2 linked regions of the Drosophila melanogaster genome follow. The protein of the gene in region 1 interacts with the protein of each later gene in a biochemical or structural test. Each region holds a gene or a part of one and is shown in the gene's direction. Other genes may lie near its edges.

What was found.
Region 2: the proteins of NC2beta (region 1) and NC2alpha form a complex in vitro, tested with the Drosophila melanogaster proteins (one study listed by BioGRID).

Annotation. Positions count from the first base shown.
Region 1 is NT_033779.5:15,006,089-15,009,214, forward strand, and holds NC2beta (negative cofactor 2beta), read left to right. Parts: upstream 1-1,724; 5' UTR 1,725-1,829; coding exon 1,830-2,381; 3' UTR 2,382-2,450; downstream 2,451-3,126. Other genes in the region: DCTN5-p25 (dynactin 5, p25 subunit), read left to right, coding at 1-172, 230-451; Ankrd49, read right to left, coding at 557-1,068, 1,118-1,253; THG (tRNA-histidine guanylyltransferase), read right to left, coding at 2,594-3,126. UniProt on the Drosophila melanogaster protein: Bifunctional basic transcription factor. Activates transcription of DPE (Downstream Promoter Element) containing promoters while repressing transcription of promoters which contain TATA elements.
Region 2 is NT_033778.4:21,668,319-21,672,134, forward strand, and holds NC2alpha (negative cofactor 2alpha), read left to right. Parts: upstream 1-1,833; 5' UTR 1,834-1,928; coding exon 1,929-1,970; intron 1,971-2,177; coding exon 2,178-3,161; 3' UTR 3,162-3,275; downstream 3,276-3,816. Other genes in the region: PIG-M (phosphatidylinositol glycan anchor biosynthesis class M), read right to left, coding at 1-670; CG42380 (uncharacterized protein), read right to left, coding at 693-890; CG42379 (uncharacterized protein), read right to left, coding at 899-1,153; CG42381 (uncharacterized protein), read right to left, coding at 1,153-1,162, 1,219-1,375, 1,437-1,500; CG15676 (uncharacterized protein), read left to right, coding at 3,411-3,816.

The DNA of each region.
Region 1 (3,126 bases):
ATATTGTGTGATTGGCAAGAACTCCGTCATCCGACCGCCGTACAAACAATTCAGCAAGGGAATCGCCTTCTTTCCCATGCACGTCGGTGAGCATGTTTTCGTTGGCGAAGGAGCAGTCGTCTCGGCGGCCACCATTGGATCCTATGTGTACATCGGCAAGAATGCCATCATAGTAAGCTATTACTTATTGTTATACCCTTGTAATCCATTTACTTTTACCATCTTTCAGGGCCGTCGCTGTGTTTTGAAAGACTGCTGTGTAATTGAGGATGGGGCTGTCCTGCCGCCAGAAACTACCGTGTCCAGCTACATGCGTTACACGGCGAGGGGAACCATCGAGGGTGGCCAGGGCAATCCGTATTTTGTGCCCGCCGCCATGCAGGACGAGATGATCAACTACACTAAGTCATTCTACGAGCATTTCGTGAGGGCTCCAGCGCCAGCCAGCTGAAAATCGTGGTGTCTACCAATTCCATCGACAGAAAACATTATTTATGAAATAAACATATTATATTAGTTATTCTATAAGTATGCGCATAGTTTGACTATTAAGTGATTAATCTATCAGTCCCGTTTCGCAGTCGTAGGCTTCCTCGCCGGACTCGAAAATGGGAAAACTCATGCCAGTACGACGGGCAATCACCGAGGCCAGTTCCTCGGAGTTGTTCTCCTTGCGCGGCTGGATGTATCGGTCCAGCAGAAGGACCGTGGCCGTATTCCGACAATTGGACACAGTGGCGGTTATGTGAAGCGGCGTCTGCTTGCCGTCCGATTCCGCATTTACATCGGCGCCAAACTGCAGCAGCAAATGGGCGCAATCCGCATTGTTCCACTTGCAGGCGGAGTGCAATGGCGTCCATCCCAGCTCCGTGCGGGCGTTGGGATTGGCATGGTACTGCAGCAGCAACTTGGCCATATCCACAAAGTTATTATAGGCAGCTCGGTGCAGCGGCGTGTATCCGTCGTTATCCTTGGCGTTCACGGTGTCTGCGTCCAGTTTTAGGATTTCCCGCACCTCGCTGATGCGGTTCTCGTTCACCGCCCACAGAATCATGCGTTCAATGCTGCCTATGATGATGTTTAATTAAACTATTTCTCTAAAATGTATTCTACTTACTTTGTGGGTTCTTGTCCTCTTCGATCAGTTCGTCGGCATCGTCGTCCCAGCCGCTCACGAACATTCCGCGCGGCACTTTGGCGTGGCGCAGCTTCTCCACCTGTGATTTTTCATCATCGGAATCGTAGTCCCCCATTTTGTGGTAATATATTAATAATAAGCCGGAATTTAAACAGCTCAACTTTTTGTTTTCTATTTCTCAAAGTGACCGTTGCTTAGCCGCTTAAGTACACTTAAAAAAATACTAAACACTTAAAAATATACTAAACGAAGAGTGGAGTTTTAAAAAGAACAGTACATTTGGTTTTTCAAATAAAAAAAAAAAAACTATTTATATAAATAATGGTAGGAATTATAAAAAAATTATTCTTTTATTTGAAAAGTCTGCCATTTAAAAAAAGGCTGTATTATTTATAATATTCATCAAAATCAAATTAATCAAAGATTATTAAGCCATTAAATTTGTGTTGAATACATAAATGATATACATCATTTTATATCATCATTTATATATTTTATTTTTAGCTATATATGCTTTATATAGTTCATTTCAATCAATTAATGATTTCATTTATTTACAAAAACAATAATTTTTCGATTACATTTTTCTGTTAGCAGTAAACGGCCACTCTAGCACACTATACTAGTAAATCCGAGAAAAACATCTGCTTCCAAGTTTGTTTGTTTGTTTGTTCCTTGAAACCAGGACGCCATGTCGAATCCGCAGGAAGAACTACTGCCGCCCAGCGCCGAGGACGACGAGCTGACCCTGCCACGGGCCAGCATCAACAAGATCATCAAGGAGCTGGTGCCCACGGTGCGGGTGGCCAACGAGAGTCGCGAGCTGATACTCAACTGCTGCTCAGAGTTCATTCATCTGATCAGTTCGGAGGCCAACGAGGTGTGCAACATGCGCAACAAGAAGACGATAAACGCAGAGCACGTCCTGGAGGCGTTGGAACGCTTGGGTTTTCACGACTACAAACAAGAGGCGGAGGCCGTTCTGCACGACTGCAAGGAGGTGGCAGCCAAGCGAAGGCGCCAGAGCACGCGCCTAGAGAACCTGGGCATTCCGGAGGAGGAGCTGCTGCGCCAGCAGCAGGAGCTGTTCGCCAAGGCACGCGAGGAGCAGGCGCGCGAGGAGCAGCAGCAGTGGATGAGCATGCAAGCGGCAGCAATGGTGCAGCGACCACCGCTGGCAGACGGCTCCGTTGCCAGCAAGCCAAGTGAGGATGACGATGACGATGACGACGACGACTACTAGTAGGAAATAGTCTTTCTATGAGCTTAGTGTAGATTTAATCTTAAAATATATGCCATAAGTTGAACTTTCAACTATTAGCTACTCTTCATTACGGATCATCCGTTTGTCCTTCACTCCAGCAGCCTGGGCACCGCATCCTCAATCTCCGAAACGACTTCCTTAGATGTATCGTAACTTTAATCTTTAAAAATGCAAGACTATTCGTTATTATATCAGCTGGTACCAGCCAGATTTTGTGGCTCCTCCGCCTCATTGTCATCCTTGCCATTTATTTGCATCTCCACCAATCGGGGAAAAGTTTGTGGTGCGTCGTATGTGCCTGGCACATATTTTCCCAATATTTCGGTGTGTTCCTTCCAGAACTGCGAAGATATCAGATCCTCGTGCAGCGGCACCACGGCCTGCCTGCTCTTCTCACCCAATATCACGCGTTTTCTCAGCAGAATCGTTCCCTTTCTGTACATTGCCGGCAGATTGTTGTAATTTATCCCGAATTCCTGGAAGAGCAGCTCATTTTTGTCCGCCGAAAAGGTGCCACGGAGTTTCGCCTCGGCTTGCTGGTTCGTCAGGCCTTTTTCCAAAACGAGTTTCCAAAAGGCGGTATTGTACAGGTTGTTCACATGCACATCGGCCTGTCGCCAGCTGAGATAGTCCTTTAGATTCTGCTCCGAAGGATACAGAACAACGCGACCATCGAAACACGGAGCATAGGCCAATGGCAGATTCATCCACTTGGACCATTGCA
Region 2 (3,816 bases), on another chromosome or scaffold:
GTATCACTAGACCGTGAGCCAAGCCCGCTCCGAATATAAGCCAGTAACTCCTGGTGACATTGTGCTCAGATTTTAACAGCAGGTATATAGTTAGTATCACGAAGAAGCTTGAGAAGCAATCGCCGCTTCCACGTGTGGATATTACAGCCGTCAGCGGGTTGTATAACCAAAAGCAAGCAGAGGCGCGGGCCAAGTTCTCTGGATGACTTCGCTCATCCAGGGCATCCAGCGATTGGTCCGAGTCCCGTGGCCTGTTGAACTTGCTAAGCAGGTGTTGTACGGTCTTCTGGTACTGACTCTTGATTTCCATGTGCACCAGACGGTAAATAAGTGTGGCGATGAGAAGATCGAATGTCGCATACAGTAGTTTACCCCACGCCGGATGAAGCAGGATGTTAAAAGTCTGCAGATATGCCATGATTGGGCTATATCGGTAAGTATGCCTGGCGAAGGGTGTGTCCCCAGCCAGAACTTGACGGGCTCCATCAGTCACCACCTTGTAGTCTATATCGGTGTAGGGCACGGCGGACTGACTGTCGTGTAATTGTCCGTAGCAAATTAAAGCTATTCGCAGCAGGGCGGATATTAGTAGATGGGTCCGAAAGCTAGTGTAAAGGATGCGGCGACCCAGTCGCTGCCATCCAGTGGTCGCAGCCTTTGTTTGAGTCATCGTGTTTATTGTTTACGTTTGTCTAAAGCTTGGTCTTCATTTCCAAAGCGGTCTTGCGGATACAGCTTAGGAACTCCTTGAACTCGGTGTCGCAGATTTTGTGCTGCACGTTTAGATCACGCGACACGCAAACCGCATACGCAGTGGCTTTGTCCGCGCACTTGCTTAGCAGAACTGGATAGTTGCGGATTCTTTGGTTGGCTTTGCGCACCGATTCCATGCCTTAGCTTAGCGCTTGTGAGGCGGAACTTTGTTCTCCGGCGGTGGTAGGGGATCGGCGATAAAGCAGTCAAACAGGGGCTTGGAGAAGAAGATCAGAAGTGAGCCTGTGATGAAGGAGATCTGGAACAGGCGTGGATTTCGCTGAATCCACGTGCGTTTGGGTAGCACAGCGGTTCGCCTGCGCTGATTTGCTTGCTGTTGCTCCTTTTGGTCCAGCAAGTCTTGAATTTCCTTCGGAGGCCTATACTGCGGTATGGACATTATTTGTTCCTGCAAAACGAGTTGATAATAGTGTATATGGAATAGAGAAGTTGGCTACAACTCACGACTTGCCGGTTGCGTTCTTTTCCTTGGATGCGTCTGGTAGATAAGTCTTCTCCAAATCGATTCCACTGCAGCAAAGCGATTCCTTGTGCCACTTTAAACAGCACTGGCGCATTGCCTCAAGGACATCCAAGCACTTGTCCTCCTGGTAGTGATTCTCTGTAACCGAGTGCAAGTCAGCTTACATAACCATGAAAATGGAGTCACCGGCGGTGCTTACTGGTCAGACAGGCTTGTATGCGGCAGGCGTTCGGTTTGCAGGGATCCTTGCGAGTGTCAGACATGTAATCCTGCCCAGAATTCTTACGATATTAAATCGCTCTTGCAATATGTGAAAAGTACTTGGAAGTGTTCTGCACTCTTCTTCTTCTTGGCGGTTGTAGTCATTCACAGTGCACGATCAAGGTAGCCAGACTGCGCGACGGTCAGCTGTGTAGGAAACCTAATACATCAAAGCAAAATAAAAAACAATCACATAAATAACAACAAAAAGAAATAACATCTCTTATAATGTACAAAAATTTTTAATCTTTCAAATTTTGATATTAATACCTTTTGCTTCCCTGTGAATACCCCGCCTGCTGCGAGAGCAACTGCCATTCACCCATCGACGCCGACAGTTGGGCACCAAGGAACTGTTCTTGTGTGAAAAACACACACACATTTGTTTTATTTCACTAGGACTCTTGACGATTACTTCACAAATCGGAAAATGCCATCGAAAAAGAAAAAATACAACGCACGCTTTCCGGCGGTAAGTTGAAACCACCGATTGGCGACAGGAAAGCTCCAGCCATTTGGCGGCCGTGAACGCCGAAGATGGGTTATCAGTTTTCGTGCATGTGTACATACATATGTACATACACGCCTCGCATAATCAGAGGCTCAAAAGAAGTAGAGGAGAAACCAAACCGGTGCGAGATTATAATGTTTCCAAACCATTACCATAAACTCCTTGCAGGGTCGCATCAAGAAGATCATGCAAAGCGACGAGGAAATCGGGAAGGTGGCCCAGGCGGTGCCTGTTATCATCTCACGCACGCTGGAGCTCTTCGTGGAGTCGCTGCTGACCAAGACGCTGCGCATCACGAATGCGCGCAACGCCAAGACGCTATCGCCATCGCACATGAGGCAGTGTATCGTATCCGAGAAACGCTTTGACTTCCTCAAGGAGCTGGTCCGCAACATACCCGACATCAGTGTGGCCGAGGAGGCCGCCTACAACGAGGACGATGTGTTACGCAGCTCGCCAGAGGAACAGTATCCAGATTCAGACACGCCATATGATCTTAGCCTGCCATCGACGTCAATGCGCTCGCAGGCGAACGGCACAGCTGCCTACATGCGCTCCATGAGTCTGAACAACGGAGCCGGATCGGGCGGAGGAGCCGCAGCCACCAAGCGGCAGTTTCAGTCGCAGCACTCCACCCAGGAAACTCCCACCACCAGCACCACCCTGCCCGCCAAGCTGGCCCGCTCCGGGTCCATGCCGGCCTACACGCCACGGGGCAGACCGCCCAATCACCTCAAGAAACAGTCGGTGCAGCTCGATACTGCCATACCCGCCCCGATCTGCAACTACGAACTCAACAAGCCCATTGTCAAGATCGACTACAGCCACGTGCAAATGCCGACGGCGAACCTGTGCACACCGGACGCCTCTGATTCTGGGTCAGGATCGGGCGCCGGATCTGGAGCTTTTAACTTCGACATAGCTGCTCCGGTGATCAATATCGATCTGACGAATATCGTGGCCGGTGGAGCACCTGGCAGTGGTGTGCCCCCCGCCTCTATTGGATTACCAGCGGCCACGCCGGGGGACAACAATAATGTGAACCAAATGGCTGGAAAGAGCAGCGCTCCCATCATTCCAAAGGCCACAGCGGCATCAGCGACCCCCACTGAAACCGTTTTCGAATTAGACGAAGACTATGACAATATTTGATTAGGATCTATGTGAATGCGCTTTTAAATTATTGATACATTAATATGTACTCTAGGTCTAAGAAATCACAATAACATTTTTTGCAAAATAAAGACCATGCTGGATTTTAAGCTGACGCAATGCGGAGTACTTTAAATAGAGAAAGAAAATTTATACATTCTAGCAGATAATGCTGTTTAATTTGCATACGATATTAAATCAGTTTATCTTTGAATTAGATGTACTAAACAAGTTCAACAATTATTGAAAATGTTTGCATTCATAGACACCATAAAAAAGCCGCCTCTGGGCGGCCGAAAGTCATTTATGCCCATCCCAGAGGCCAAGTTAGTTGACGATGTCGTCAGCTACATCGCCAAGCCAGAGTTCTATTCGACTGTTCCAGCGGCATTGAAGATGCAACGCCTTTTCTATGTGCAATACAGCGAACTGGCTGCCAAGTTGGAGACTGACCTCACAGCAGTGTTAACCCGTTTGGAGGCTGCCAAAAATAATTTGGAATTGGTGAGGAGGTTCATAGACAATCCTGACAAGGAAGTTCACAGCCTCGTGCAAATCGCACAGGGAGTATTCAGATGGGTGAGCATACCGCCAGTGCAAAAGGTTACCCTTCAAGTGGGCGCATCTCTGCAAATGGAATTCGAGCTGTCCGAGG